Linked DNA regions of Bombyx mori. The protein of the gene in region 3 interacts with the protein of the main gene of each other region in a pairwise test. Links are inferred from orthologs where the notes say so. Each region holds a gene or a part of one and is shown on either strand. Other genes may lie near its edges.

The links.
Region 1: the proteins of PAN2-PAN3 deadenylation complex subunit PAN3 (region 3) and cyclin-K interact in a two-hybrid assay, tested with the Drosophila melanogaster proteins (3 studies listed by BioGRID). The link is inferred for Bombyx mori from reciprocal best matches to the Drosophila melanogaster genes PAN3 and CycK.
Region 2: the proteins of PAN2-PAN3 deadenylation complex subunit PAN3 (region 3) and PAN2-PAN3 deadenylation complex catalytic subunit PAN2 interact in binary tests that used the Drosophila melanogaster proteins (3 or more experiments, as listed by UniProt). The link is inferred for Bombyx mori from reciprocal best matches to the Drosophila melanogaster genes PAN3 and PAN2.

The regions. Positions count from the first base shown.
Region 1 is NC_085129.1:15,382,446-15,393,723, forward strand, and holds cyclin-K, read left to right. Parts: upstream 1-4,485; 5' UTR 4,486-4,768; coding exon 4,769-5,355; intron 5,356-6,239; coding exon 6,240-6,426; intron 6,427-7,012; coding exon 7,013-7,477; 3' UTR 7,478-7,532; downstream 7,533-11,278.
Region 2 is NC_085114.1:5,144,521-5,155,321, reverse strand, and holds part of PAN2-PAN3 deadenylation complex catalytic subunit PAN2, read right to left. Parts: intron 10,496-10,801; coding exon 10,356-10,495; intron 9,418-10,355; coding exon 9,265-9,417; intron 8,660-9,264; coding exon 8,563-8,659; intron 7,066-8,562; coding exon 6,970-7,065; intron 6,100-6,969; coding exon 5,983-6,099; intron 4,299-5,982; coding exon 4,217-4,298; intron 3,416-4,216; coding exon 3,258-3,415; intron 1,956-3,257; coding exon 1,709-1,955; intron 277-1,708; coding exon 134-276; intron 1-133. UniProt on the Drosophila melanogaster protein: Catalytic subunit of the poly(A)-nuclease (PAN) deadenylation complex, one of two cytoplasmic mRNA deadenylases involved in general and miRNA-mediated mRNA turnover.
Region 3 is NC_085107.1:5,724,873-5,735,673, forward strand, and holds part of PAN2-PAN3 deadenylation complex subunit PAN3, read right to left. Parts: intron 8,603-10,801; coding exon 8,515-8,602; intron 7,228-8,514; coding exon 7,147-7,227; intron 6,622-7,146; coding exon 6,496-6,621; intron 4,487-6,495; coding exon 4,388-4,486; intron 3,595-4,387; coding exon 3,355-3,594; intron 579-3,354; coding exon 427-578; intron 1-426. UniProt on the Drosophila melanogaster protein: Regulatory subunit of the poly(A)-nuclease (PAN) deadenylation complex, one of two cytoplasmic mRNA deadenylases involved in general and miRNA-mediated mRNA turnover.

The DNA.
Region 1 (11,278 bases), on a different chromosome or scaffold from region 3:
GGATAGCCGTCTGAGCTCCGTGATACGCGAGGAATGATCTACACGACGACCTAAATCTAGAACTGATACGTACATAAGTATCTAGAGAAACGTCAGAACGCTACTTTGAAAAAGCATTTGTGGTGAATTTTAGTTTTTTCTTCTGCAGAAATGAATAACAATTGGCTGGATTGAGGTCCGTACTGTTGCTTAAGCACCATGAAAGCAGACGATCAATATTAGAATAAAATTTAGGTCAAGGTTGGGGGTTGATTGCTTCCCGCTTCCGTAGGTTTAACCCGCGATTCCCTACAAGTGACCCCTGGGTGGTGCAAAACGGGAGCCGAATACATAATCGGTGGTAGGACTTGTCCGACTGGCTGGCGACCACCCTCCAACTAGAGTCCGCCGCCAAATAGCCTAGCTGTGTTCCGGCGTGTGGGTTGGAGAGCCAGTGTTATTCCTTCCCTTTCCTCTTCCTTGTTTGGGGTAAATCTTGGCGATACCTGGAACATGCGGAGCAGACGTGCGTGTGAGCTCGCGGGACGTGATTGTTTGACGGGGGTATAGGGAGACCCAGTGAAACGGTGTTCGCCGCCGCCCGCCGGTCAGTTGGGGACCTGAACCCGGGTGTCACTACTAAACTCCGCCCCGGGAAGCTGTCCCGCCAACCGGTGAAAAATCCTGTCGTGCGGTCGTCGTGCCGGAGTCGGAGACCGGAGTGGATCCCGGCGATCGCACGCAGGGTGGACTGGGGGCCCTTCCATGCCCTGCGTCAGTCGCCCACGCAACCCGTGGTCGAGCACGTACTGTGCTCCGCGCTTTATTCAGGTATTGTCACGATTTCGCCTCGAACATCCTACCCCACCCAATCCCACTCTCCAAATAAAATTAAAAAATAATAATAATGAAAGTTCGAAAAAGGAAAAGGGTTTTGTCGGCGATTCCCCATTCCACATTTAATGTGGATTTCAGCAATGTAAGGGGTCTACATAGCAACCTCGACGCCGTACACCACCATCTTGAGACGGCGCAGCCTGCCCTCCTTTTTCTGACGGAGACGCAGATATCCGCTCCGGATGATACTTCGTACCTTGAATACCCCGGCTACGTATTGGAGCACAACTTCCTGCGTAAAGCCGGGGTGTGTGTATTCGTCCGGGCAGATGTCTGTTGTCGCCGTCTACGAAGCCTCGAACAACGGGACCTGTCCCTCTTGTGGCTGCGCGTAGATCACGGGGGTTGTACCCGAGTCTACGCGTGCCTGTACAGGTCCCACAGCAGTGATGCAGGTTCAGCTCTGATAGAGCATGTGCAAGAGGGGACTAACCGCGTGCTTGAGCAGTACCCATCTGCGGAGGTGGTGGTTCTTGGAGACTTTAACGCTCACCACCAAGAGTGGTTGGGGTCCAGAACCACTGACCTCCCGGGTCGGGCTGCCTACGATTTCGCCTTGGCCTACGGCCTCTCCCAGCTGGTGACACAGCCCACCCGTGTCCCAGATATTGAGGGGCACGAGCCTTCTCTGTTGGACCTTCTGCTGACCACCGATCCAGCCGGATACAGTGTGGTGGTCGACGCTCCACTTGGATCGTCTGATCACTGCCTTATCCGTGCTGCCACACCACTCTCTCGTCCTAGTCGTCGAACGACGACCAGGTATCGAAGAGTTTGGCAGTATTTGTCAGCAGATTGGGATGGATTGCGTGAGTTTTACGCATCCTACCCATGGGGGCGGTTCTGCTTTTCCTCTGCTGATCCTGACGTCTGTGCGGACCGTCTTAAAGACGTGGTGCTCCAGGGGATGGAATTGTTTATCCCCTCCTCTGAAGTGCCCGTTGGGGGTCGCAGCAGACCCTGGTATAACAATGCCAGCAGGGATGCTGCACACCTCAAGCGGTCCGCATACGTTGCATGGGATGATGCTAGGAGACGTCGGGATCCTAACATCTCAGAGGAAAGGCGGAAATATAACGCCGCTTCCAGGTCCTACAAGAAGGTTATTGCCAGGGCGAAATCGGAGCACGTTGCTAGAATTGGCGAGCGACTGAAGAGCTATCCCTCTGGGAGCCGTGCTTTTTGGTCGCTCGCCAAAGCTGCAGAAGGTAACTTTTGCAGGTCTAGTCTCCCACCACTACGCAAGTCCGATGACAGTCTGGCCCATAGTGCGAAAGAGAAGGCTGACCTTCTGGTCAAACTCTTCGCCTCGAACTCGACTGTGGACGACGGGGGTGCCACACCACCGAACATCCTCCGGTGTGATAGTTCCCTGCCGGAGATCTGCTTTACACAGTGTGCAGTCAGGCGGGAACTCCGACTCCTGGACGTCCATAAGTCGAGCGGGCCAGACGGCATCCCTGCAGTGGTTCTGAAAACGTGCGCCCCTGAGCTGACACCTGCGCTAACGCGTTTGTATCGCCTCTCTTATTGCACTAACAGGGTTCCGTCTTCATGGAAGACTGCCCACGTCCACCCTATCCCCAAGAAGGGTGACCGGTCGGACCCATCGAGCTATAGGCCTATCGCGATAACTTCCTTGCTTTCCAAGGTGATGGAGCGAATAATTAATATACAACTCCTGAAGTATCTGGAGGATCGCCAGCTGATCAGTGACCGACAGTACGGTTTCCGTCACGGTCGCTCAGCTGGCGATCTTCTTGTATACCTTACTCACAGGTGGGCTGAAGCCTTGGAGAGCAAGGGCGAGGCTCTTGCTGTGAGCCTTGATATCGCGAAGGCCTTCGACAGGGTCTGGCATAGGGCACTTCTGTCGAAGCTACTATCTTACGGAATCCCCGAGGGTCTCTGCAAGTGGATCGCTAGCTTTTTGGATGGGCGGAGCATCACGGTCGTTGTAGACGGTGACTGTTCTGATACCATGACCATTAACGCTGGCGTTCCACAAGGTTCGGTGCTCTCCCCCACGCTTTTCATCCTGTATATCAATGACATGCTGTCTATTGATGGCATGCATTGCTATGCGGATGACAGCACGGGGGATGCGCGATATATCGGCCATCAGAGTCTCTCTCGGAGCGTGGTGCAAGAGAGACGATCAAAACTTGTGTCTGAAGTGGAGAACTCTCTGGGGCGAGTCTCCAAATGGGGTGAATTGAACTTGGTTCAATTCAACCCGTTAAAGACACAAGTTTGCGCGTTCACTGCGAAGAAGGACCCCTTTGTCGTGGCGCCGCAATTCCAAGGAGTATCCCTGCAACCTTCCGAGAGTATTGGGATACTTGGGGTCGATATTTCGAGCGATGTCCAGTTTCGGAGTCATTTGGAAGGCAAAGCCAAGTTGGCGTCCAAAATGCTGGGAGTCCTCAACAGAGCGAAGCGGTACTTCACGCCTGGACAAAGGCTTTTGCTTTATAAAGCACAAGTCCGGCCTCGCGTGGAGTACTGCTCCCATCTCTGGGCCGGGGCTCCCAAATACCAGCTTCTTCCATTTGACTCCATACAGAGAAGGGCCGTTCGGATTGTCGATAATCCCGGTCTCACGGATCGTTTGGAACCTCTGGGTCTGCGGAGGGACTTCGGTTCCCTCTGTATTTTGTACCGTATGTTCCATGGGGAGTGCTCTGAGGAATTGTTCGAGATGATACCGGCATCTCGTTTTTACCATCGCACCGCCCGCTACCGGAGTAGAGTTCATCCATACTACCTGGAGCCACTGCGGTCATCCACAGTGCGTTTCCAGAGGTCTTTTTTGCCACGTACCATCCGGCTATGGAATGAGCTCCCCTCCACGGTGTTTCCCGAGCGCTATGACATGTCCTTCTTCAAACGAGGCTTGTGGAGAGTATTAAGCGGTAGGCAGCGGCTTGGCTCTGCCCCTGGCATTGCTGAAGTCCATGGGCGACGGTAACCACTCACCATCAGGTGGGCCGTATGCTCGTCTGCCTACAAGGGCAATAAAAAAAAAAAAAAAAAAAAAAAGGTCAGATTAAATGATGGCTACACTACTTTGATGGTATGCATCTAGGGGCCTCCCAATATCCAATACCACCCCAAAAAGTAAAGTTATTAAATGGTAAGAGAGGGTGATAGGGCAGTAATATTAGAAGCTAGTGTGTCAGCTTTAGACACCCAGGTACGTAAAACAGCCGCTGAGGCTAAAAAGTTCTCTAGTGGCGACCGTGTACCGGAAGACATGGCGTAGGTAGATCTCCCACAAGAATAGACGACCTGGTGAATCTTGCAGTAATCCGCTGAATGCAGGCAGTGTAGGACTGGTTGCTGTGGCGAGGTTAGGGGAAGGCCCATGTTCAAGAGTGGATGTCTGTGGTCTGCTACGTACATATTTTGATCTGGAAATACTGATAGCAAGCAAATATCTAAAATAAACTAGATTAAAAGCTTTTGCATTGTAAATTCATTTTTGAAGTCTTGTGGATTTTTAAATGTCCCTAACCCGTAGGTATTAATACGATCAACCGTCAAATTGTTAGTTAAAAAAAGGTGTCATTAAAGGTGTCATTACTATACTTGAGACCTTAGAACTTGTATCTCAAGGTGGGTGGCGCATTTACGTTGTGGATGTCTATGGGCTCCAGTAACCACTTAACACCAGGTGGGCTGTGAGCTCGTCCACCCATGTAAGCAATAAAAAAAAAATAAAAAAATTGTGGTGTCATTTACGAATGGCAATGGCAACAGTAGAAGTAATAGTGTTCTGTGGGCAACAGCATGGAGTTAATAAGTAAATAGTAACTCTATGGGCAACAGATTGCAGAGGCTACATACCTGAGCCCTGAGTCCTGAGTGCTTAAAATACTTTATATTGTCTATGGAGCTTACTTATTTAGTGACGATATCAGACAATATCAGTGTTATTTTGAATAAAACAAGTGCTTCCAAAATGCCTTATTGGTATTATGACAAAAAGGATTTGTTGAATACGCCTTCCTTCCGTGATGGGATAAACAACGATGCTGAGAATCGTTACAGAAAGGAAGGAGCGAGATTCATAATCGACACAGGATCTAAAATGGACTTAGGTTATAATACTGTTGCCACAGGGGTTGTTTATTTTCATCGTTTTTACATGTTTCATTCGTTCAGGACGTTTCCGAGGTACATAACCGCTTGCTGCTGTTTGTTTCTGGCGGGAAAAGTCGAAGAGACACCAAAGAAATGCAAAGATATAATTAAAGTTGCCAAGTCTTTGTTGACGGAACTAAAGTTTGCTAGTTTCGGTGAAAATCCTAAAGAGGAAGTAATGACACTCGAAAGAATTTTGCTGCAGACAATCAAGTTTGACTTTCAGGTCGAACATCCCTATGGGTATCTGCTTAAGTATGCTAAATGTTTGAAGGGCGACAAGACAAAACTACAGAAGATGGTGCAAATGGCTTGGACATTTGTAAATGATAGGTAAGCGTATGATTACTATAGCTTAGAGCCATTTGACTATTATTAGAAGAGATATGATGCCTCTAAATTGAAACAATCCTTTGAATTCACATTTTCATGGGTTTTTTTACCACCTGACCTGCTCCTGCAGTGATAAATATAAAATGAATTAAATTAAATAAGAAGTTCAGTAATCGTACCTATAACACAGCGGATTGATTTTGTGTTCTAGCAGTATTCTCATATAAAGCACCCAAATAATCATATAATGCTTTCAATACGAATGATTCACATTTAATTATCTTACCATTTCTACACTTTTTAGTACACATATGGTAACATTCAAAAGCATTTGATAAATTAATAATTAAATTAATTACAATAAAATATGTAAGATAAAGATTTTTTTCAAAAAAAAAAAAACCAAATAGTGACCAAGTAACCGTTGTTCACAATGTAATAGAGTGTAATTTGTTTTTAATTATAAAATATAATATTAAGATTTATTTTGTATTAAGATTTCTGTTGCGTTTTTTATTAGCCTCACACTACGCGAGCATTGCTTGAATAACATTTGTATTCAATCTATCGAAGTTTTATGACACCCATTTTCAGAGCTTCATAAAAAGCATCTTTGCCAGAATAATTTGTTCTTGTTCAACTAAAGTTAACTCCTCTCATAGATGTCCCGTAGGATTCAAATCTGGAGTTTGACTTGGCAACTCTAAAATGTTGTAGTTTTGTATTTAAAAAAAATATTGATTTCCTTAGACTTGTGTTTGGGGTCATTATCTTGCTGAAATTGTCATATAGTTGGTGTGTGGTGTTTAGTGTATGTAAAATCCTTGGACCAAAAAAACCTGTATATTTTGAAAATCTCAAAAAATATTATTTTGTTCTTGCAGTTTATGTACAACACTCTGTCTGCAATGGGAGCCTGAAGTGATAGCTGTAGCTCTCATGTTTCTAGCTGGGAAACTCAGTAAATTCGAGGTGGCAGACTGGAATGGACGGCAACCTAAACACAAAGTGTGGTGGGACATGTTTGTTGAGGATATCACTACAGAGCTATTGGAGGATATATGTCATCAGGTATGTTGAGCTAAGGATTCAGTAAAATCTGAAAGTCAATTATGAACAGACATGTATTCAGTTTGAAAGCTAAAATATGTATTTGAGACCATGTGTGTTCATAAGTGTTCACAGTTGGTAGATAGCAGTATGTTTATAATGTCAATGGCACTGAAATAATTAAGCCGCCAGTGTACATTTATTTAAAAAACACAACACATGTGGGTTTGAAAGACACACTAGTTAATCCAGTATGTTTTATTATATATTTTTTATTGCTTTGATGGCTGGACAAGCTCACAGCCTACCTATTTTTAGGAGGTTACCAGACCCCATAGATATGTATAACGTAAATGACACCACCCACCTTGAGGTATGAGTGTATGAGTTCTAAAGTCTCAGTATAGTTACAACGGTTGCCCCACTCTTCAAACCGAAATGCATTACTGCTTCATGGCAGAAATAGACAGGGTTGTGGTACTACCTGTGCAGGCTCGCAAGACGTCGTACCACCAGTAATTACCCAAATTATTATTTTGCGGGCTTGATTTCTATTACAAGATATTATTCTTTCACTGTGGAAATCAATCGTAAATATTATTTCCAGGTATTAGATTTATATTCACCACAGACACAAGCGTCGGGGAACGATTCCCCTCCTTCTGTTCCTCAGCCTCCAAAAAACGAGAAGAAGCCACCCTCCGTTACACCGCCAGCTTCCGTATCACCTGTCGCCGTTACCGCAGCCACTAAGCCGGTGGTCACGCCCATTAAGAACGGAGGGGAAGTTAAAATTGAGCCCCCCAAAGTCGGTATCACCGAGCCTATTCGGTACACGTATCCGTTTACACCAATACCGCATTATCCTCCAGTGTATACGGCTCCGCCTCCTACAATCCCTCCTCCTCCCAGGCTCCCTTTGGTGCCTCCTCCCATGGTATACCCGGACCCACCCCCGGCACCGAACAGGTTCCCTCCCGTCAACGTCCCACCCCCGAACTATTTCACCCCCCTGCCAAACCGAGGACCTCCTCCAGGGCCACCCCCTCGGCCCTACTATCCGCCACCCTAGCACCTAAGTTATAGATACTATAATTTTTTACTAAAATATAATAATATAGACAGTATTTGTTTTTTTTTTTGTGGGACGAAGATGTGCATTTCATACGTGCTTTAAAATTAAAATCTCATAGAGGAACGCAAAGAATGGTTTAGTTTTTTTGTGATCATCGTAAATACTGACTACAAACATAAGTAAATCCTATTTTAAAAAAGGTGATCTCACAGACTCAACCTGAGAGAATTTGCTAACACTGGCCGTTGCAAAGAGTAGTGCTTTGCTGAATCTACTACCGGATCGTAATTGCGACCCACTGAGAAGATCCTGCGAGAAATTCTGCGGGTTATGTCTACGGGTTAGGTTGCACGTCGAACTCTTAACAAATTGCGTAATATTCTTTCATACTGCGAACCATTTTACCGATTTTATAAATCATGGGCCATTTATCTTTTGCGCTTTGACTGCCTTATTTATCATGTAAAGTGTAGAGATTGTTATAAATTGAGAACACATGATTTAAACACCACTGAAGTTGATAATGCTGTTACTTTGATTGAAACTGGGCATATCTAACGCTGAGTTGTGAAGGGATATATCAGATGGTATGGCAGACCGGGTGTATACGATAGATATAATCAGAAATATAGGGTAAATCCCGGTTGTTTCGCAGAATAAATTCCATACTGCTATTTAAGATATGTATTTCCAATACTTTTTTAAAGTATAATCATCATTTAATATATAAACCTATGAAGTTGCCGTTTTACAGTACTGGCGATTTTAAACGTAATTTAGGTGCTAATAGTTTCTAAATTCAAATCATTTTTATTAAAAAAATATGAAATTCTAATTTCTTTTCATTACATTTGTATACTTTTCACAATATGGACACGATAAAAATATCAGATCAGGTCATGTCGGTTAGAGCCTGGTTTAGCATCCAGGCAAAGCACTAAATGAAGCAATACCCCTAAAATCATGTTTACTGTTTGGTGGTCTAGTGCCAAACAATTCAGTTTTACAGCTTCTTACAGCATTACTCCGGATGCTTACTGTGAGGAACTGGATTCAATGATGGAGAAGCTCCCAAATCTCCAGCTGGCCTTGGTCAGTCGCACGACCCTAGACTTGATACATCACAACAGACGAACTCGAAGCTACTAGGGCTGGAAGTTTTGGATACCCGAAAGACAGTTTAAAATGCCCCCCCCCCCAACCACTGCGCTGACAGAAATACAAACTTTCTGTGTACTAAACGACAATTCGATAAACTCTTATTATGTAGGTTGGAAGTACGTATGTAGTAGTTTATCTTTATAAAATTCATTTACAAACACATGAGTTCTAAAGTCTCAGTATAGTTACAACGGCTACCCCACCACATTCAAATCGAAACGCATTGCTGCTTCACGGCAGAAATAGGCAGGGTGGTGGTACTTACCCGTGTGGACTCACAAGAAGTCCTACCACCAGTAAAAAAATACAAACGTCTGCAGGTAACCAAGAACCAGTCCCCAGAATCATTAGTTAAACTCTAAACAACTTTCGCATAACTTTAATTCCGAACACATTTCATAAACACAACACGGGTAAAAAAAATACATATTATACACATTCCATAAAAAAAATACTAAGAAATACTGATATAAATTAATAATAATTAAAAATAACGTTTTAGTACGAAGCTAATCTCATACATCATAATATATAATTTGACTATAAACACTTGTGCGTAAATCGATTTATAATTAAGAGCTGCCGTTTTTTCGACTAGACAGTCACCGAAATTCATTTTAATAATTATATCTAATTTACGATACTTTATTAACAAGCATGCGTAGTTAATGTCTGTATAGAATTTCATTAAAGTTTATCAAAGACAACTGACGATAGGTACGCATTCGGTTATGCAAGATCTAATATTATATTGAATCAATATTAATGTTTGAACAATATTCAGTCGTGGGTAAATGAATTTTATTTATTGCATATACGGGACGAGCTCACAGTCCACCTGGTGTTAAGTGGTTACCGGAGCCCATAGACATCTACAACGTAAATGCCGCCACCCACCTTGAGATATGAGTTCTAAGGTCTCAACATAGTTACAACGACTGCCCCACCCTTTAAACCGAAACGGATTACTGCTTCACGGCAGAAATAGGCAGGGTGGTGGTATCTACCCGTGCGGACACGAGGTCCTACCACCAGTGAACTGTAACAAGTGGCATCTTGTTTGCGCCCTGCACTTGTTGCTGTGGCCCAGTTACACTAAATAATCGGTCAAAGGCAACAGTTGTAACAGAACATTTACAAATAGGATGAACTTTTCTTTGACATACCGTCAGTCAACATACAAAAATTACTATATACAGATCAATGACCCCAAAATGTATCATCTATCTTGAGCTCTTGGAAGCATCGCTTAGTGTGTGGAGGAGCCGAATGCGTACAGTCGGTCGGTATGGGCGGGGAGCGGTTAGCACCCGTGAGCACTTGTGAGCACGTCACGCATTTTAGGAGCAGAGGGCCCGGTCCGCGCCTGCGACTGTCGAACTACGCGCGAAATAAACATTCAAATAACCTTATAGAAAAATGTTTTACAAATATTTAAGTAGTAAAAGTTTGTATAAAAATGCATTTCAGTTTGATAAAAATTCAAACGAATTCTTCTGACGTTCAGCTCTGACTCGCTTCACTTCAAATATTCATGTTGATTGAATTCATTAGTGACGACAGAATCGTAATAGCGATCTTAGTCGACTTAAAACACTTCAATTCATGCACTACACACAGTTTATGTGAAACAATTATTTTAAATCACTAAATAAAATATAGAAGCTAAATAAGAAATACGACGCATGACGTCACACGTGGCTAGTCGTTACGTAATGGAACATGATCTATTTATTACTATTACTTGGTTTTGGCTCCGTGAGCCATCGTGATCCTGCCTGTCGTACACGAAGAATTGTTATGCCTATACAATGAATTCAATCAACCATTTATAAACATCAAAACTCATTAAAATAACATATAAATATTGTAGTAGCCTAAACATTATAAATGTGTACTTAAATTGTATATTTCGTATAAAAAATCTTATAAAAGGCACTCGATTCATCAGATCCCGAACGAATTTCAATAAGGCACATGATCTCACTTATGTTTTAACAAAATAACTAAAACGATAAATAAACACGTGGATTATAATATACTATCTCAACGAAGTGAAACTTCGGCCATGAAACTGCCCACTGTTTATAAATAATATAAGCGTATTGCTACTAAGGGAACTAAGAGTGTGATATGTTTATAATAAAAATAAAATGGCCTAACGAAAAATACCAAACAGTAAAGTTGATTAATATATGAAATACCACAGCGACGACACAGAAGTTTCACTTCGGTTAATTATTAGGGTTAAGCATATTGTGGTTGACAGTTGAAATTAATGTAGAAAAATTTTCAAAGATTTACAATACTTTATAGAATGTATGTAACAATATAGTAACACAATCTAATATATTGGTATCACGCATGTTGTTCCTTTACATCTGCTAGGATACTAATCATTCAACGAGATAAATACAAAATAATTTATTTTGAGGTGACGAATATCAATGAAGTTAGTAAAAAGAAATTGTTACGAGGCTACATTTATACAGATACGAATCGTTACACAGCGCGCCGAGTCTCTTCAGTCTATCACTATGGTTCACCGTGCTTAGTGCGAGTTATTTAACGTTCTCGATAGCGTAAAAGTTATCACAAATTTGTATGGAGCGTTTGCCTACGTTTGCCGCTAGGGGC
Region 2 (10,801 bases), on a different chromosome or scaffold from region 3:
TTTCATGTTATGTTTGATATCAAACCGAAGCGCATTACTGCTCCACGGCAGAAATAGGCAGGGCGGTGGTACCTACCCGCGCGGACTCACAAGAGGTCCTACCTATTCCCGCCCCCCGATCTAGTGTACCGACCTCCTTGTTGCACTTCAAGCAGCGGTTGAGCTGATGCCGACCGATGGCGAACAGCTGCGAGATCTCGGTCTCCTCCCGGTGCGCCTGTCGGTTGTTCAGCTCGTGACTTTCGTGGTTTTGCAACGGCCCCACGCCGTCGACGCCTGTGTGTGTGCGTGTGTTTGCATCAAACTGCATACCGACGCTTGAAAGGCAAACGTGACTAAGCGACAATAACTGCTTTGTACGTAAATGATAGGCAATAACCATATTCGATACGCAAAAAAAAATTAATATTTCTAGATCTATTAAATTAATTTCAATCCTACAGCTAGATTCGTTAAAAAAAAATTTCAGTTATTTCAACTTTAAATTAGTCTACTGTAAAGTTCACGCATTGTCGCTTAGTCACGTTTGCCTTTCAAGCGTCGATACGTATATATCAAAAATCGCAATTCATTTAAGTAAAAGTAAATGCGTAGCAATTCGTGTGTATAAATTTTCGTTTTGATAAAAAAGGTAAAGAAAACATATTTTGTTTGTCACTTGTTGTAGCAAACAGAAAAGCTATTTTGAATTATTTATAAGGTGATTTACTCCGATGAGTATTATAGTTTTATAATGTAAGTTGATGTACATAATAACATGTGCGTATTGTGTTGTTTTTGTTTATTGCAATTTCTAAATTTATCTTCTCTGTTCACTTTCTACTTATATGTGATTTTGTTTGTGGAAACATATTTGCTTATTGTTTTAGCTATTTTTTTAAATATTATAATAAGTTTGTAATGTAATGTTTGTTTCCTAAATAAATAAATAATTAAATAAATAAAAAATGACTAGCGGTAGGACATAACTGTGTGCCCGGCGAAAAGCAGTCCGGCTTTTGAAAGTTACGACCGATGACAGTACAGTAATTGGTATTGGCTTTACTTTGGCCTAAAATGATGATCAAAATAATCAAAATAAAGACTTTTAGTCCGGCCTGCTATTTAAAGGTACTTTTTTTTGTTTCTAATCACTTTTTTATGCATATACGTAGTATCGAATGAGTCTGTTTTACATTTCTAAAACAACTTACTCACCTGCAAATTGTATTCCAAAAAAGACTGCGTGAAATGAAATAGAAAAAAACGTTTTTCATCTCACGATTGTAACATCGGTATATTAATGAATATAATGAGAATTAATCTTTGTTTGTCTCATTTAATTTATATTTAATATCAACATTAGATTAGTAGTTCGAGAATGATTTCAAAATAACAATTTCCTGACTAAATCACGTGACAACATGTCATTATAATTTAATTTGATTTCTCTTTTAAATATCTATTTTCAAGTAACACGAAACATCTACCATTTGCCGTGTAATGTTCGAGTAAAAATATCGCCTTTAGATTCGGATAAGTTTTTAACTCACAAATCGATTTAAGCTTACACACGGTCGCGTGTTTTATTTGCGAGGATATTGTACGTTTCTTGCATAACAATCGTTAGTCCAAAGCAAAGTGACTTCGACTTATGCGCTGAAATATCCGCTAAGCCCCACGACCGTGATTATACGCCGTCGCCAATGTGAAAGTTGGTCGTTCTCACCTTCATCCCTGCCCGGCCAGAGTTCGCCATCCTCTTGACAATCAAATTCGGTGGGTCCCAAGAACTCCAGTTCGGTATACTGACACTCCTCGGAGTACTGTCCGTTCATTAGCGAGTGACGTTCCTTCGGGTTGGACGCGCGTGGTGCTTTGGGCGGACTGTTCGCTATCAGCGCTAACTCCTTCTCCTTCTTACGGGTCTCGAGGATCTCGTAATGAATCTGGTGCAGGATGAAGCGGTTCCAGCTCTGCAAGAACGTATTTATATAAACTAGCGTCAACAGCGCTTACTGGCGGTAGGACCTCTTGTGAGTCCGCGCGGGTAGGTACCACCGCCCCGCCTATTTCTGCCGTGAAACAGTAATGCGTTTCGGTTTGAAGGGTAGGGCAGCCGTTGTAACTATACTGAGATCTTAGAACGTATATCTCAAGGTGTGTGGCGCATTTACGTTGTAGATGTATATGGGCTCCAGTAAACACTTAACACCAGGTGGGCTGTGAGCTCGTCCACACATCTAAGCAATAAAAAAAAAGTAATCGAAACTTTGTAAAACAACGTGTAAGTGTATATGGGCTTCGATTACCCCATACAACCTGACGAATCATACTGTCGTCAATAATGACAGACCTAATATCAATAATATAGTTTGAAACATTATGAAGCTCAAATGACAGGTAAATAGATAGATAGTTATATAATAGGACAAAGACAAATAAGAGAAAGAGTAGGCCTCCCACGAGGTAGAGCAACGACCTGCTAAAGGTATCTAGATGTGGATTGCGCAAGACCGGTAGTTGCACCAAACCTGCGAGGAGACCTGGGTCCAGCTGTGGACATCTGTGGGCCGATGGTGAGGAAATGGGACAGTTTTATACATAAATGTAAACAAAGCGCTTGATACTTCATTTAGTTTGTACAGTTTGTATTTGCTACGTAATAACTGCGATGTATAATTTATCTGTGAACTTTCTGATTCTATGGAGCTGGTCTGTCATATTGACATTCTGTCATATATTTTTTTTAATTTATTGAAAGCATCGGCAACACGGCCATCAGTTTAAACTTATTTTACAAAAAAATTAAAAATAAACTAGGACTTACAATAAAAACACAAATAAAAGAAATAAACCAAATCAAGACACAATTACAAATCATCAAATACAAAAAAAAAAGGTTAAACAAGTGAAACTTATATATTGTAATTTGAATATTGAAAAAATAAAGAATAATACGAACTGGTGAAACAATAGCTTTAAATGTTGTTTCTTTTTACATGTGAGTTTGTGATTAATTCATGTTAAAGATTGTTTTGGTGTTAAAACTAGTTGATGTAACAAAATAAAATTTACTCTTTACAGAACAACTCAATTTTGGTTATAGTTTTACTGTTCACCATAATATCCAAGGGTTAAATCAATAATTTATCCAAGGATAAAAGAACACATTAATATATACATCTAAAGAAATAATATTAGAAAATCCAATTCAGACCGAAGCAAAATAAAATATATCTGAAAAAAAAAAACATTAATAAAATATTGTTTATTACCTGTATTAAGGCTACCAAATCGACTCTTATGTCGGGCGCTCGATCCGGCAGTATCAGTCCTAGGGCAGCCGCTTCGGGGACCGTACGAAACGCGCGTAGGAAGTTTGTGGCCTGACAAGGGGTGCCGCCAGACGTGTCCAGCATGCGAAATAGAAAACCTGACGGTGAAATGCACTAGTGTGAGAGACTTTGAAGACGCCGTGGCCTAAAAGATAAGCCGTCCGGTGCATTCGTGTCGAGCGATGCACCGGTGTTCGAATCTCAGGCGGGTACCAATTTTTCTAATGAAATACGTACTCGACAAATGTTCACGATTGACTTCCACGGTGAAAGAATAACATCGTGTGTAATAAAAATCAAACCCGCAAAATTATAATTTGCGTAATTACTGGTGGTAGGACTTCTTGGGAGTCTGCACGGGTAGGTACCACCGCCCTGTCTATTTCTGCCGTGAAGCGGTAATGCACTTCGGTTTGAAGGGTGGGGCAGCCGTTGTAACTATATTGAGACCTTAGAACTTATATCTCAAGGTGGGTAGCGCATTTACGTTGTAGATGTCTATGGGCTCCAGTAACCACTTAACACCAGGTGGGCTGTGAGCTCGTCCACCCATCTAAGTAATAAATATATATATATATATATACACATATATACAATATATACATCACTTTTAAGAAGATCATGTCAATTCGTTGTTTCATTTAGACGTAAAAGAAAGAAAAACACACTTTCACATTCATAATATTAGTTTGAAAGCCTATACACTGAAATTTTCAATGATTATTTATCTAATAATTATTCTTTTCATATTTTTTCATTGTAATTGTAATGAAATATCCGTTTTATTCTGTTCCTATGAACACAAGACACACAAGTGCCCTATATGTTCATAGACACAAGTGTTCTATATTTGAATCGATATCCTTCATAGATAATACGAAAAAAAAACACAGACTTACCTAATTCGCAGCTCAAACAGAACTCTTTGGCGCACGTGTGCGCTAGCAACGTGGCTTTGACCGGCGGCGTGTAGTACAAAACCTGCGTTAAGGTGAGCGAATAAGGTTCAAAATCGAAAACTACTTTTACAGTTTTGAAATAGTAAAATGTTAAGACAATTCTACGTGGATATCAAATGGTTTGTTAATAATAGAATAGATCAAAAGATCAAATCCGAAAAGATCAAAGATAGCATGGTACCATTTTACGGGGGTTCGAATCATTTCTGCTTAACTACGCAAAATAAGAGTATTTTAATGTGTCAACAATTAGAAAAAATGTATTTTATATGCATGTCCTTTTATGGACCTCAAGTAAGCAACATATTATTATGTATGAAAAGATGGGGACTGAAATAGATGCAATCTGCAAATACCGTGAGAGAAAGGCAAAAATCCATCCAACAATATCTGATAAATACACCTGAAATTATTGATATATTAATTTTTTGGTGATTTTCATCAATCAATCATCAGTTTTCATCATCATACGACTACTACGATGCAGTACAGGATGCGTTTCGGTTTGAAGGGTGGGGCAGCCGTTGTAACTATATTGAGATCTTAGAACTCATATCTCAAGGTGGGGGGCGGCATTTACATTGTAGATGTCTATGGGCTCCAGTAACCACTTAACACCAGGTGGGCTGTGAACTCGCCCCCACATCTAAGCAATAAAAACAGCGAAAAGATGGGGACTGTTAAAGATGCAATCTGCAAATACCGTGAGAAAAGGCAAAAATCCATCCACATAAATTCAGCGAATACTAACTATACCTTTCCGGTAAAGATGCTCAGAGAAATTCAAGAATATCTGATAAATAAATCTGAAACTATTGATATATTGATTCTTGGGTGATTTTCATCAATCAATCGTAAATTTTCAATACAATTTTCAATACAGGGTGTGTGTTTTCTATATAACTAATGGAACGTTCAAAAATTAATATACGCCTTGTTTTCGTCCTAAACTTAGGCCAACCAGACGAGATAATAAACGTAAACAAGCGGACCGTTAGTGAGTTACATTGCGATTCTTCTCAGTCGTATGCACTCTTGGCAGAGTGGTCGTGGTCATCACTTGGGTTGGTGGTGCGCTTCACCAGACGTCGCCATTCCTCGCGTATTTGCGATAGCGAGGGATTATTATCTCTGTCCTTATCACTCGTACGCGCAGTTATGGCGTCAGTTGGTCGACAACAGCTGTCGTTGTGTGTTTCGTGGTACAGGAAAGCACTGAGTACCGCAGTTGTGAACATTTGGTCCGCCATTTTGTGAACAAGTTTATTCCTGTTTGGATTGCGTTCGAAGTGATACATATTTTTTCGTTTCCGTGTTTACTTTATTATTCCGTTTTTGTTAGTTTTATTTTTGATTTTTGCTGTTATTGTGAGTACTTAGTTATTGATTTTAATTATGGAATCACAGCCTGGCGGCTCTAAAATGAATTCACCACGCAAAAAGCGTCAAAAGGTAAGTTAATTTATTAATTCATTTGTACTTGTACCACTACCATAATTTTGACTCGGACTCTTCCGACGAATCATCTTTGTCTAGTACAGATGACAGCGATTAAAATTCGAACTTTGTAATAATTTATTTAAATAAAAATGTTTTTTACTCCTGAAACTTAGTTTACATTTTTTATCTCGTCTGGTTGGCCTTACTTTAGTTTAAAATTCTGCGATCCTCACCCATAGAATAATATGATCTACTCAAATACATACCTGTAACATGGCATTGCAGTATGAATTCGGTAATGTCGCTTCCAGTCCGGGCTGACCTGTTTTATTGAAACTCTCTAATTCTTCATTCGGACCGTGCTTATTATATCGTATGTCGAGCTGAAATACACAATCATGTTGAAAAAACTACATATAAAAGTTATTAGTACAAACACCGTCTTCCAATTCAGAGTTAAAATTTCAATTCTATTAGTTCAGAGGTTAATTTAGAATTTAACTAGCCGTACTCGCCCGCTTCGCTGGATATTTAAAATTAACATTACTATTTATAGTCATTATTATTAGGGAGTCCAACACTGATGTAAATATTAGCCTACCCATTAAGTACATGTATTTCCTACATGGATACCGAGTTTCAAGTCAATCGGATGTAGTTAGTAGTTATAACGGAACATCCGTAAAAACCACTGTAGATTTATATATTAGTATAGATTACAATATTCCAATCCAACCGACATACAAGTAAATGAGTTACTCAAAACTCAATAAAACAATTCAAATCAAATCAAATCAAAAAAGTTTTATTCAACATAAATGAAAGTACATACTTGTTGAACGTCAAAAGAACTACCGCCAATTCACAAGAATTAGCCTCCGTCCTGAGAAGAATTGGCAAGAAACTCAGCGGGCATGTCTTTTTTTTTTTTTTTGAAATATTAGATTTTTAATTTTATTTTAAATATTAGTTTTTTTTAAATATTCATTTTTACAATAAGTAATTATAACATAACAATTATTACAATATTGAAATTCCCGGAGCGAGCAACTCATTCCCACTTTGTGCAATCTTCTAGATAAGATTCTTCTTAAGTGGCTTCCATAATTTAATTTTTTCAATGTATAAAAAGACAATGAATGCTCACATTATGCTGGTATATTTATTACATTGCATAAAAATTTGGTCACCATTATATTTATTATAGATATTAAAAACGTTATTATTTTTATATAAGGGTAACTTCTACAAACCTTCTGATAATGTTTCGGTATCGGCTGCATTATTACTTTATTTCCATTTATTTTTGATATACTCATTTCTTCTAACGATTCTTCAAGGTACGGCATCTGTGTTAAAATGTGTTATAAAAAAAAATTACTTCGCTTTGTTTAAGAATATATTGTAAATAAAGCTCTAAATACGATGAAGTTTTTGTTTACTTATTTATTACTCACTCAATCGCATTAGATTCGCAAATTACAAAATATTATGAATATTTAAAAATAGGCGGTGTGTCGTCGGCTATAAAGGCAGTAGGTGTTGACCGCGGTAACCCCTTACTCCGCCCTTGACCCTTGACCTTGGGGGGATCGGACACTTGGGTGAGAGTGCAGAGGAGTTGATAAGTGTATAGGGGCCTGAACACCATCCTTGGGCCCGCGGTCCACTCCCAACATTTGGAGCTCGTTCAGTCCACGTACGCCGCGCGACCCTAGGCGCGGGGACGTCGTAGGAGGTTCGACCACCGGCCATAAAAACAAGATTAATAAACAATAGATTAAAAAAACTAACAAAATACGCTTTTATAGAAAATCCAACTAAAAAATAGAAAATAAATTATAATAAATTTGTATTAAAAATAGTGTAAGAAAAAAATATTTTAGTGTAAAAAAGCGTGGGGTGCTTTTCAGGATTTTAACAAAATAACCCTTCTACTCATATCTGTTCATAAAACATTTATAGCTACTGATACCATGCACCCCACGCTTTTTTTTACAGTAAAATCAATTTTTCTTACACAATTTATAATTCAAATTTATTTTCTATTTTTTAGTTGGATTTTCTACAAAAGCATGTTTTGTTAGTTTTTTTAAACTATTATTTATTTTTCATTTTTTAGTCGAATTTCAAAGTTTTTCAATATTTTTTTTAATATTGAACTGTCATCGGTCCTTAATAAGTATACCAAATTTCGAGTTAATCCGACGTTTTGAAGGGGGTCAAAATCATGTTCAAAGATTCCGTTACATACAAACATACATACGTCTGAAGCTAATAAGCGTATTAAAATGATAGCAATACGTTTTTTTTTTTTTATTGCTTAGATGGGTGGACGACCTCACAGCTCACTTGGTGTTAAGTGGTTAGTGGAGCCCATAGACATCTACAACGTAAACGCGCCACCCACCTCGAGATATAAGTTCTAAGGGTCTCAGTATAGTTAGAACGGCTACCCCACCCTTCGAACCGAAACGCATTACTGCTTCACGGCAGAAATAGGCGGGGTGGTGGTACCTAGCCGTGCGGACTCCCAAGAGGTCCTACAACCAGTGAAAAAATTTCTTTCCGTGGGTGCTATAAATTAACAGGAAAATTAGCAGCAGTTTTCCTCGAGTACCTAGGGTATTACGATCGTCAACAGACATATAGTAATGGTCTAGTAAGGTAGGGACGGTAATTATAAGCCCGCACTGGTAGGTACCAATATCCTGCGGGTTTCTGCCGCTAAATCATCATCTTACGTTCCAGTTTGAGGGGTGGGAGCGTTGTACTATACGATTTAGACTTCGACTTTAAGTTCTTCGTCTTAAAGTGGCGAATGGCAATGAATAATATTTATTTACCTGATTCCTTTTAAAAGTTTTCGGATTAGGCGCGTATCCTATTGGACCTTGCATTTTCATCGATTTCAAAACTTCAGGATCGACTGGCTTTGGTTTTCTGTAACATATCATTTATGTACTTAGATATATACTAGAGCCATTCATACGATTTAAAATATTCCGATATGTAAATAATAATTTGCGTTTATAGCTCTGTATATTCATACGTGCATTTGTTTATCAGATTGAGTTAATTTTTTTGTTGTTACAGTATCGAAGACATTTTCTGGCATACTTCCAAAAAATTATGATAGATGGCGCTTCGTTTTATGATACGAATCGTGACCGGACTCCACAAGTTTAAAATAGGAAGCTTAAATTCTAATTATTTTAATTTTTTTTTTTTTTTTTGTGACTATCGACTATCTATCTATATATATGTAAAAATGAATTGCTGTTCGTTAGTCTCGCTAAAACTCGAGAACGGCTGGACCGATTTGGCAAATTTTGGTCTTGAATTATTTGTAGGAGTCCAGGGAAGATTTAGAAGATAAATATGCAAGTGCTCGGAATGAAATAAAAATAAAAATTTTAAAAATTGTATTTTTTCGTCGGACGGATTCCTTTTGTACAAAAGTTTAGATATTTTATTTATCGATTGAGACACTACGAAGTCTGCCGGGTCAGGTAGTTCTAGATATAATTAATGATACGTGTACCAACCTATACACTTTCCTAAAGAATTCCGGTGGCAATTCATTGAACCATTTCCCGCCGCTCGCCAACTGAGGTAGTGGCACCGACGAGTACTGGAACCTGGTGTCGCTGAACCGAACGTAAGGTAGACCTTCCACTGGATCCGCGAACTCTGTTGACCTAGAATAAAATACAATACATAATACATAATAGAAGTTCAAAACAGGAATCGGTAAATTAAATTCTCTCTCTCTCTCTCTCTCTCTCCCTCTCCCTCTCTCTCTCTCTCTCTCCCTCTCCCTCTCTCTCTCTCTCTCCCTCTCTCCCTCCCTCTCTCTCTCTCTCTCTCTCTCTCTCTCTCCCTCTCTCTCTCTCTCTCTCTCTCTCTCCCTCTCTCTCTCCCTCTCTCCCTCCCTCTCTCTCTCTTTGCTTTGATGGGTGGACGAGCTCACAGCCCACCTGATTTTAAGTGGTTACTGGAGCCCATAGACATCTACAACGTAAAATGCGCCACCCGCCTTGATATATAAGTTCTAAGGTCTCAGTATAGTTACAACGGCTGACCCACCCTTCAAACCGACCTATTTAGGAAAAAGCAATAATTATTAAGGAATAACATCGTGTCATAAAAATAAAACCAGCAAAATTATAATGCGCATTTACGTAGTAGATGTCTATGGGCTCCAGTAACCACTTAACACCAGGTGGGGTGTGAGCTCATCCACCCACCTAAGCAATAAAAAAAAAATTAAACAATCGGTTTGTGTTAATGAAATTTGAGGTCTGATTAAATAAATATCTATGGATGAAATTAGTTCTTGTTGCCAGAGAAAAGTGCAACAATCCCAGATTTTATTTAAATTGTGGTCACATCCAATATCCTCAATCTAAGTATCCAATTATTTAACACAAAATTGCCAATCAGAAACTTAATTGGGTTGATTGAAATAGAATATTAAATGCAAATAAAAATTGATTCTGATGTTTGACTATTATGACTTTAACAATTATGCTTTGCAAAAATCTACTATGCAGCTTCCTCTTCTTTCGCTTGCATATAACTTTATATAACTTTTTTTTTTATATTTTAGCTTACCTTATTACTTTGATATCCGTACCTTGAAAAATTATTGTATACAGGTTCGTGATTCTGCGTCGGTGAGAAAAGATTTAAATGTCCTGATTGGTCGCCGAAAGCGAGGGCTTGACTCGTCGACGCAACGTCCATCACATTGCACTGTGAACTGTGCGTCTCTACCTGGAGACAAATGTTTGACCTATCAATGTGACCTTGGTATCATCAGGTACCTCAACCGATAAACCAATTTGACCTCTCCATCTCCACCAGTCTACGAGCCGAAACCAGTTCGTTTATTTTTTGTGATATGACGATAACTAATGAAGTGGTTATGGGCTTCTCCGCCCTTTTCCCCTAACTATTCGCTGGTAGCCTAAGGGGACAAATTCTCGCGGAAGAGTAGGTGAGCTCACGGGCTCAGCCTAAGAGAATTTACTAACACTGACCCTAGCAAGAGCAGTGCTTCGCAGAATCTACCACTGGATC
Region 3 (10,801 bases):
TGGCACTCGGGAACTGCCGCGGTAAAGCTATTGCATAGTATTTTTTATCAACTTATGCAATTATAATTAGATAATGATATTTTAATATTAAAACAATAATAAAACAAGACCACGCTATATTAAACATTAATAAAAGCAAAACATTAACTGTCCCCTTCACACTCATAACCTAGACCGCGCGAGAGAGAGATGGGCAGACTTTTCATGATGCGCATGCAGTGTGACGTCACGCCACGCTCTTATTCACAAACACTACACAAGCGCAACGTCTGAATGTGTTGAACGCGAGCTACATAGTAGGCGTAGTGGGGTGACAGGTTATTTTCGTTACGAAATTTCTTGATTCAGTCGCCGCGCTTAAAGCCCGAGATAAAATCTATGCAATAGCTTAATAAATAATCATAACATCATTAACGCTACACAAACCTGATGGGTATACGGACGCGGTGCATCCGGGTCCGAAGAGAACGGATCATGATAAGCAGCTCCACCCTCGGCGGAGTTGTTTCCGTTTCCGGACAAATACTTGTTCATCAGAGTCACAGCGGCTGGATGATACTGGTACACCAGGACCAGTGCTATTGGATTGATATTTTCGAATAATTTCATAATTCGTCTTCCAATAACTACGGTATTGGGATTTGGTCAATAAACATCCTAGATGTGTGGACGAGCTCACAGCCCACCTGGTGTTAACTGGTTACTGGAACCCATAGACATCTATAACGTAAATGCGCCACACACCTTGAGATATAAGTTCTGAGGTCTCAGCATAGTTACAACGACCCCACTCTTCTAACCGAAACGCATTACTGCTTCACGGCAGAAATAGGCGGGGCGGTGGAACCTACCCGTGCGGACTCACAGGAGGTCCTACCACCAGTAAAAAGAAAAACAGACAGAAAACCTTGTTATTTGACTTATTGATATTGATTGTACTGTATCTATAGATAGCAACATCGAGGGGTTGTAATAGTTTCACCGAACGTATAGGCGAGCTCACAGGTCTCAGACTTAGACAATTTGCTAACAACCGAATCGGAATCGCGACCCACTGAGAAGATACGACGAGAAACTCAGTGGGCTGTGTCTGTGAGTTGCACTACGAAACCTTCATTGGATTCCACGGAATCTTGGTAAAAACTATTTAATGTATATCGAATTATTTGTCTAATTTTTTTTTGGTCTAAGCTACATGTCTTTCGTGTATGTAGATATATTCTAAATTTTAGTGGCTTATTAAGATTTGAGAGACTAAGGGCACATACTAATCATGTGAACATTGGACATTTATTTTAACATTATTGGACATTAATTATATAAAATTTACTAGCAGTTAATTCGTCAGAACAATACTGTTTTAAAATGTAACGCAACTTGAAATATGTCACCTGAATACAGACTCATTTGCATGAAGTCACTCAGGACAAAACATTTTCATTAAAAAAAAAACGATAATAAAACTGAAATTCAAAAGGCTTAAGATGCATAGCGGTCATTTTTGAATTTCAAAACAGCAGAACAATAACCCGATAATGTGATTAACATGGGTTCAAATGGTTTTAAATTTTAAACGTAGTGATGGTGGAAAATTTTGTAACATTAATAAAGTGCTAGGTCTTCATGAAGACATTTCATTATAAGCTAAGGCAGGTATATAAAGTAAATCTGTGAAAAAAATTGTGAACCACACTTATCCCATATTAGTCGCCGCAAATAAATTCCTTTTGGATTAAGCATAAACCACAAGCGAGGGGTATTTTTTCTTTTAATTGATCGTTTGAATTTGTCGCCCACATTTACATTTAGGTAGGTATTATACGTAAACATTTTTTGTTTTTACAAGATAATGACAATGTGTGCATTTAAAACATTTGAAATTGTTTAAAATATTCGTCATAGTATTTTTCATTGTAAATATAGGGTGTCTCAAAAATTAACGCAAGATTTGAATTTGCCATTTGCACAAAGTTGGCAACCCTAAAAAACGGCAATTTGAAAGCTGACAGTTAAGGTTAGTTAATAAAAATGGAACGTTGGAAACATAATTGGACCATACTTTTTGAAAAAGAATCTGTTCAAACAGCGACTGTTAATAGTGCTCGATATCGCGACATTATAACACAGTTCATTCTGCCTAAATTGGATGATGTTGAAGTAGCTATATGTGATTTCAACAAGACGGTGCCACATACCATGCAGCACTTGAAGTAATCCAATTACTATATAAGCATAAGGCTTTTCCAGGTCGTGTAATCTCTCGTATTGGCCCCCTAGATCCTGTGATTTAACACCATTACATTTCTTTTGATGGGGAACGGTCGGTGCTCGATATCGCAACATGATAACACAGTTCATTCTGCCTAAATTGGATGTTGATGTGGCTAATATGTGGTTTCAACAAGACGGTGCCACATGCCATACAGCACGTAAAACAATCCTATTGCTACATAAGCATAAGACCTTTCCAGGTCGTGTAATCTCTCGTTCCGGTGATCAGAATCGGTCCCCTAGATCGTGTGATTTAACACCATTACATTTCTGTTTATGGGGCTATTTGTAATCATAGTTATAGGTGAACAAATCCACGACCACCCGTACATTAAAGGATAAGATTCAATGCTGCATCAAAGAAATTCAACTACATTTTTGCATAATATGTAAGTGCATGCAAGACCATGGAGGCAATTTGCCCGATGTGTTATTCCATAAATAACCCTATCCTACGTATTTTATGATACAATAGAAAAATAACAATCAAAAGACTAAAAACTGTGTTTTCTATTTAATTCAAACCTTGCGTTAATTTTTTTATTATTTAAAAACGCCCTTTACTATGATTTGAAATATTAACGGAAGTAGATTTAATAAAAAAAAATGTAATTTCAGAGTTATAGTCCTTAGTGTTGTATTATATTGTGATCTTCCTACCAGCATAAGAGAACTTTTTTCGTCGTGAAAGCCTCCTGCTTTAATGTAATTTTAATTATAATGAATAAGAACTGTTATCATTAATATGATGATGATTATTAATTAAAGCCCAAACCTTAATACATTAGATAAATATAAAAATAATAGATAATTATATTTTCATTATTTAAAATTATCTATTTAAAAAAAAACTGCCAATATGTGCAGACAATGACTTGCACAAAATACTAATAACGCTATTAACTTACATATAGTAGTTAATTTAGCTGAGACCTGACTGTTAAAACGTTAAAATACTAAATGTTTCGAAAAAAAGATGCATTTACATAAAAAAACATTTATATTAAAATAACAATGTAGACCGAGCAATGGATTATGCTTGGAAATGTAATCATTTTGTTTTAAGTTGCTAAATTTACTCACATATATCGTTAAAAGCCTTGGTGCTGAAATATTCTTCCAGACGCACAATGTTCGGGTGGTCGATCTGCTTCCACATTTCAAGACGCTTGGAGGCCGGCGACGTGTAAGAATGGAGCCTCCTTAGAGCCACATAATCACCGTTCTGACGGTTAGTAGCGCGGTACGATGTCGACATCGAATGCGTCACGGCACCCTCCAGGGGTACCAGCTCGGCGTACATGTCCACGCTGTCCGGTATATCTGTTACACACAGAACTTACCGATCAACTAGACTTTTTGGCGGGAACGCAAGGAGTGAAGTTTTGTGATTTGTTTTATTTTGTCTATTTAGTGTTTATTCTGATTTAAATGTGTAACAGTGGTGGTTTATTAACTGTTTAATATCTGTGAAAGTGCACAAATGTGGGAAAATTAAACAAAGGCGCTGGATGTAACTTCTCGGGATCCTTCAAAAAGTCCACTGAAAAAATCTCAGTAAATGACCACCATTATACTGAGATTATATTTCATCCCATATCATTACATTTAATTTCGTCCCAGTTGATTAATGTCGCAAATTAATCATCTTCATTTCATTTCACTCCATATTATCATTTTTCATAAAAATAAGAATAATAAATTAAAATAAAATATGACTTAAAGGTCTTAGTTACTAGGTCAGAAAATCCCTTCAAAAAAACCGATCAACTAACAACAACAAACGCATATTCATAATTTAATGATCCATTAAAATTTCTATTTCATTGGAGGCATTTTACAACAGAATAGCGTTAGACACTGGATTTCATTATGACGTATTTACTGAGTAATAATTGAAAGCATCTTTTGCGATATAACTTTTGTTCGGAGCATATCTATACATTGTTTTTCGATGACATCTATGAGACGATGCCATTAGAGTGATATCAGTCTTAATAATCACTCATAAGAAAAAATATCTATTTTTCATATTTCCGTATTAATAAAAAGGGAATCAAATTAAGTCGAAAACCCCTTTACGTGCCGGGTCGTTCGTTTGTTAGAACCGATGTACCTGGAAACTGATTGAGATCAGGCTGCAAATAAACATCATCATTCCTGTCGTAGATCTCAGACCGTATTGTTTCGGGATTGTAAAAAGTCGCCGCTAGACCTGCGAACAATGAAAATTCAAACTGTTGTTGTTTTTTTTTCTAAACAAACATGAAACAGTTTTAAAAATATTTTAAAGAGGTAGGTAGGTAGGTAAATGAAATATCCCCATACGCTTCAATATCAACTTTTATATTCATAGCAATGTTCTTTAAACGATTTTCGTAGCAACGTTTATCGAAGGAGCGCTTTAGCAGTAGCGCGCTATTCAATAGTAGTAATGTCGCTCTGCGAGTTTCGCTCACTGATAATATTAGCAAAGCTTAAAGTCATGTAAAGGTATGCTTAAACGAGCAGGCGCTTCGCGGAAATTATTCCCTTAAAATTTAAACATTGCGCGCCATGCTTTACTTTAATAAGCTCTCTTATGGTTATTGACATCTCGACGTGTATAGAAGATTTAACGAGCAATTGTGTGGTTATAGTTCAGAGCGTAAACTGATCCCACTTTGTTGTACATTCAGATTCTAAACGATGTCTAAAGGAGAGCTCGAAAAGGGTTCGTTTATCATAAATGGCACATGATTTACATCATGTAAGGCCGCTTTTTATTTATAAATTCAAATTCACATCGGTGCCTTATTCCTGAAGGTAATTAATGCAACCGAGTATTAGACCAACAGATTCGAATGGAAACTAAAATAATATCTAAAGTGCAAAAATTAGATCAATAATTTTATTTGTATGATCTTACAGAGTTTAATAATATTAATGACTATCATTTATTACGCTTTTACATTTGGGCACGCGACGCTCCTATAGAAATAGCAAAGCATAGCTCGGTCAATTTAACAAATAAATTGACTAGCCGAGCTGTTGAAATAATCTTATTCATTCGCTTAGCAAGATGCTTTGTTTTAGTGCTGAGTTTCGCTGATTTTTGCAAGTCTAATGATCCAGGGGTCAGGGCTAGTAGGATGTGGATGACTACGTCGCCCCTTATATAAATCACATGACGTGATTAATATTAAACAAAGCCATCCTTTTGACGCATGACAAATAACGTTCAGGTATTCAAAAGATTTAAAATTGATAGCATAATGAAATTGACACATGCTAATATTGCGAAACGAATGAGATTGAACAATATTGAAGGATCCTTTGTGTATTAAATACTGTATTGTCTCCCCCCTGGATGTTCGAAGTATATTTGAAATGAATCAAGCATTTGTTTTTATAAATTCATTCTAAACGATGTACTATAATTATAATGTTACGCAGGTTGCTTCTAATAAGATTAAAGAACATCGCAATGAATATATTGAAGCCTCCTTTTTTTTTTTATTATTTCATGTTAAAAAGGGACCTACCACCCTCGTTTATTTGTTATTTCATTGTATACTGAAACAATTTAACCAGAACAATAATGGTGGCACAACACAGGAATATATGATTCAAATCGAATTCTTGTCTTAATTATGTTGTCCCAATATTTTTGCCTCTACAATAAAAACATCTGCTTCTAGACTTTGCTCTCGTCTTTTTTCAATGTAGACAGTCAAGCATATATGGCCTATCTGACGGTAAGTGGTTACCATCAATGATGAACATCAGCCATGGGAGAAGCACTGCCTACACAAGTAGCACATAGATTTCTTTATCATATATATATAACGCATAGCAAATTAGTGATAATGATTATGAGATTATGTTTGCTTAGATCGGCAAATGGTTCTACGCCTCATCTAATCATCCATCACTAGAGCCAACAGAGTAACGTGACTACCAATGCCACATTGACGAATCTCGAATAGACTATCGTAATTTTCAATCGAAAATTGCATAATTAGTTCGCGGCAGAAATAGGCAATGCGGTTGGACTAAGCAAACACAATCACTGTTAGTAAAACTTGAAATACCTGTGACAGAATTGAAATTGTATCAGCATTAAAATAGATATTTTTTATTAATAAATCTTTTTATATATATATGATTATACTGATCGTTACAAATGTATATTTAAATTTCAATTCTGTTAATAGGTAAGTGTATTGCATCGACAACACGAACCTTGTTTGTTGGTGGACGGCCCTGGCTGCGGTAAGGCCCCAGCGTACATCTGCGAAGCATACGGAGACACCATCGGCGGCCCTACTGCGTTTAGACATGGCTCAGACGGACCTGGTTGGTGGAAATCTTAAAAACGCTTTGAATATGCCTGATAAATCGTTTCAATAAAACTATTATTTTACACATAAACATAAATATCCACTGACACTAATCAATAATAGAGTTTACGTTATTTAATAAGTAAAATAATATATGTAAACCTCAAGTTATTCTTATTCGTACATGCAACATTTAAATAATATTTATGATTTATTAAATAAATATTTAAACAATTAAGTTATCTAAATAATACTGTATAAAGTAAATAAGCATGTTTCCAGCGTCGTGTGAGGTGTCGTAATCGGCTCTGTAACTATTTAAAAAAATATGACATAAGCTATGATGAAACAGCTCAGAACTATCAATAAAAATTAGTAAATAATCTAAAATACACAATAAATTACAAAAAAAAAACCAACCTAATATTTTATCGATTTCTATTTATTAATTTAGATACACAGATATTATAGAAAATAGTATACAACCAAACCAAATAAAATGATTTTGTTTCTACAGATGGACACCAAAATCATGCGTAAAAGGCTTGCTTACATGGGTATACCAATGGATATGGTCTTGCGGTGCTCAGCAGAGAGTAGTCCATGCACGGTTCTTCTGGTATTGTTAGCCATACAAAACGAAATAAAGGAAACTTATATATATCAAGAAACAATTTTATTATTTAGTTTGCTAACACCGGGCATAGACCATAGAATCTAATTAAGAATTTCGTTAATTGCATTATTGATATTCGTACTCCATGCCCCTTCAGTGGTGAGTTGCATTGGCGTTCGTAAGCGGAAGCACGTGAATAATTTAAAAACAGTTTTCAAAAGAAGCATACTTTATCTCGAGTCCTTTTTCTGTGGCGTACCGGTTTGAAAGAACAATTTTATGTATTGTATTTTTCATTTAAGTACATTTACTATTAATGCTAACATATATATTATATTTCATAATAATGTCCGTTTCTTCTTTTTATTCGTGTATTCATGTTATGTTCTATACATATTATTATTTGGTTGGTTGTTGATTTGAGTGGACCGACATACGCGCATTGCAAACGCGTCGAATCAATAGTTCGTCAAACCCAGACACCCCTCGGAGAGAAACATAGAAACATACTATATCCATAGTCACTGTCTAGACAAGGGGGTTGCAGGTACTAAACCAGACATGGTTAGCTTATTAAGGTATGCTCGAAGTTTGTTATATTGAAATACATCGTCAACGACGATCAACAAGTATGTGTGAAACTTTGCATAATAATTATTAAGAATTCTAGACAGATTCGGTGATGTTGTTCTTTATATCATATCGATATTTATTTACATGAAATTACATTTAAATTTAACGTAAAATCATGTATCATTTGAATCCACATTTTTTGTTCGTAAAACGAGTTTAATGATGTAAAAACTTTATCAAACACACAAGGTGGGTTGTAGTCAAAAGGAAATAACTTAATTCTGATCCCTTAAAGCAATTAGGTTTCTTTTTGAGTAACACAAAAAAATATAAATAGGAGGCTAACGATGCAATCCGCAGTTCTAATAAAAGTAATTAAACACCGAGAAGTTACTGAACAAACAATTCCAAGAAATTTGTAGTGTTACCGGAGAATGGCTGATATTTCAATAAAATTTCTCATGAATATTGTTTGTTATTGCTATTTCTCATGAATACGAGTATGATTGAAATATGATGACAGATCCGACATTGCAGGTTTTGTGTGATCTTTGTTTGTCCGTTAAATTACGTTACTAAGTGACAATTTCATAATTTTATTAGGCTTTACTATAACTGGAAACTACTACTACTAGAAAAATGTAGCTATAGGCATAAAGTGTATTTTGTTCATAATATTAGTTGGGTATTAAGTATTAAAAGTATTAACTTATCGTGGATTTGATGACTTACCCATGGAAGCCGATGAATTAAGACCGCTAGTGGTATTGAGGCTGTCTGAATTGGTCGAGTAGAAATAGGTAGTTCCTCCCACGTTCTCCTGTGAAAATTTAACTGCATAATCGTTTGCATAAATGTCAATGGAAATGGTCTTGTCTTATTTTGTACAGTGAATTCCTATTAAAGCACGCTGATTCGTTTTGGATAATTACAAAAGGCCATGCGTACTTATGTTTGTGTTCTTTTTGTGACTACTTGTGTGTACTACATGTATTCTATATTTCAATTTCCCCACGATTGTGTTGGAGGCACACTGCTTACTATTCGCAAACGACCTCTTTCTATCGGCAATATAAGGGTGGAGTTTTTTTAAATATGTTGACAGAGCGTTACAGTGGAGCAAGGAAAATAAGATGATTTAAATGTATACAAGTATAACATGATAAACTAATACCGAGCAAATACTTCGCACCACCGATGTTTTTTTAGATATTGCGGTAAAACACTCAGTCGTAGTCATCTCGAGACAAATTCAATTATTTGGAATTCTGATGAAGTCACACTGGAAAAAGCACCAAGCTAATTCAGTAGATTTTTTTTATCATTTTTTATCATTGCTAGCTGTTGATGTATCCTTCATCTTAAGCACTTCGGGTACAATGAATGTGTAATTGAGAGAACTCTTCTCGAACTGCATCGAACCGTAGGCTTTAAGCCGGGGGCAAGAGGAGAGCTCACGTCCAACTGCAGCCCTTGCATGAGGCGGCTTCCCTTAGTGAACCATTTCGGATGTGGCCGCGTGGCGCCAATGTACTGCGGCGCGGCGCAGAGCTTAAAGAACGACCGGTGGTGGTGATTGATTCGACTAGCTGGTTTTCATTCGAGGTATCCGGGAACACCTGCAGCACTAGCATGACTGGCCGAAATAGATTAGCTTTCGTCGCCGCCCCGTCGATCAGATGTTCACGATGCGCGTCTGCACTGTTTATCGTCACGCCCCTACTACCTCTCCCGGATGCAGGATCTTTTAGTGAGCCATTAAACCATTATCTTTCACTTGCGATATTCCTTCTTCAAAGTTCTACTACAGTCTACCGTAACATGTGTACCCTCGCGCCACGGATATCACAGCAGAAGATTCAACACGCAGCATAAAACAAATTTACCTACATATTTTCAAAATTCTAATATTAGGAGGTCCTTACTTATGAAGTTGGCCTTTTGTGCGGAAAAATTAAAACACCAAAAAAATATGAAAATCATTTATTAAAAAAAAGTATTGATTCCTTTATTGAAAAAAAAATTGTATGTGAGGAGACTCAGTAAGTATTGTAAATAAAGTAAATATTCTTTATACTGCCTCATGTGACTTATACTGATGTTTTTTTTCCAAAGTCCGGAAAAGTGGTAATCTGCTGGAGCAAGGGCCGGGGAGAACGACGAGAGATTAACTAAGGCTGGCCGGATATTCGTCCCGTTCGAGTTCCATGTCGGAAGCGTTCAAGCCAATAAGGAGTGGTGCCTTCGTCGTATTCACTCCGTACCTGCTATTGATGTTGAGAGCCATTTGTGCGGCATTGCTACTGAGACGGAACTAGTTTTCCATAATTACCGATATTTTTATCACGTCCATTAACTTGTCTTTGCAGTCATTTTCATCAGGAAGCAAGAAACAGTGGAGCTGTCGACTTATACTGGTGCGCCGTACCAAATACAGGCTCAACAGATGTACATAATATGTATATATCGTATTTTCCTCATTTCATTAGATATATGACCCCACGCCGCAAATTATGTTCTCGTTAAATGATAAATATACGTTTTGTGACATTATTCCACGACCGTTCCAAGTTAGCAACGAATTGGTTTTTGGTTTTGTATCTGTCTGTACCAATAAAAAACCTGTGATTTGCGTAACTTGTGATACCCCGTAGGAGCGGGACGTTGTAGGATGATTTGTTTTGTGGATATACCACCCAGAGTAGAACCCTAGTGGACACTCTGTCTCACACATGTCGTGATTGTTGCAAATAAGACGGAGTAACTCTCTGGCATCTGCTCACCCTCGCAATTATAACCTCCAAGTGTAAATACGTAAGAACCGATAAATAGAAGACAAACGCATGGAATTTACCATTTTAAGATGTTATAAAAGCAGACTTTTTTTCGGTAGGCGCGTTTTTTCTGACCTTGAATCAAGGTCTTTGATGTATTATTGTAGGATCCGAAATTGAACTTGTTTCTCCTTCGCTAGTATAAGGATGACCCCATAATGGATTTACTACATATCAAGAAAAAT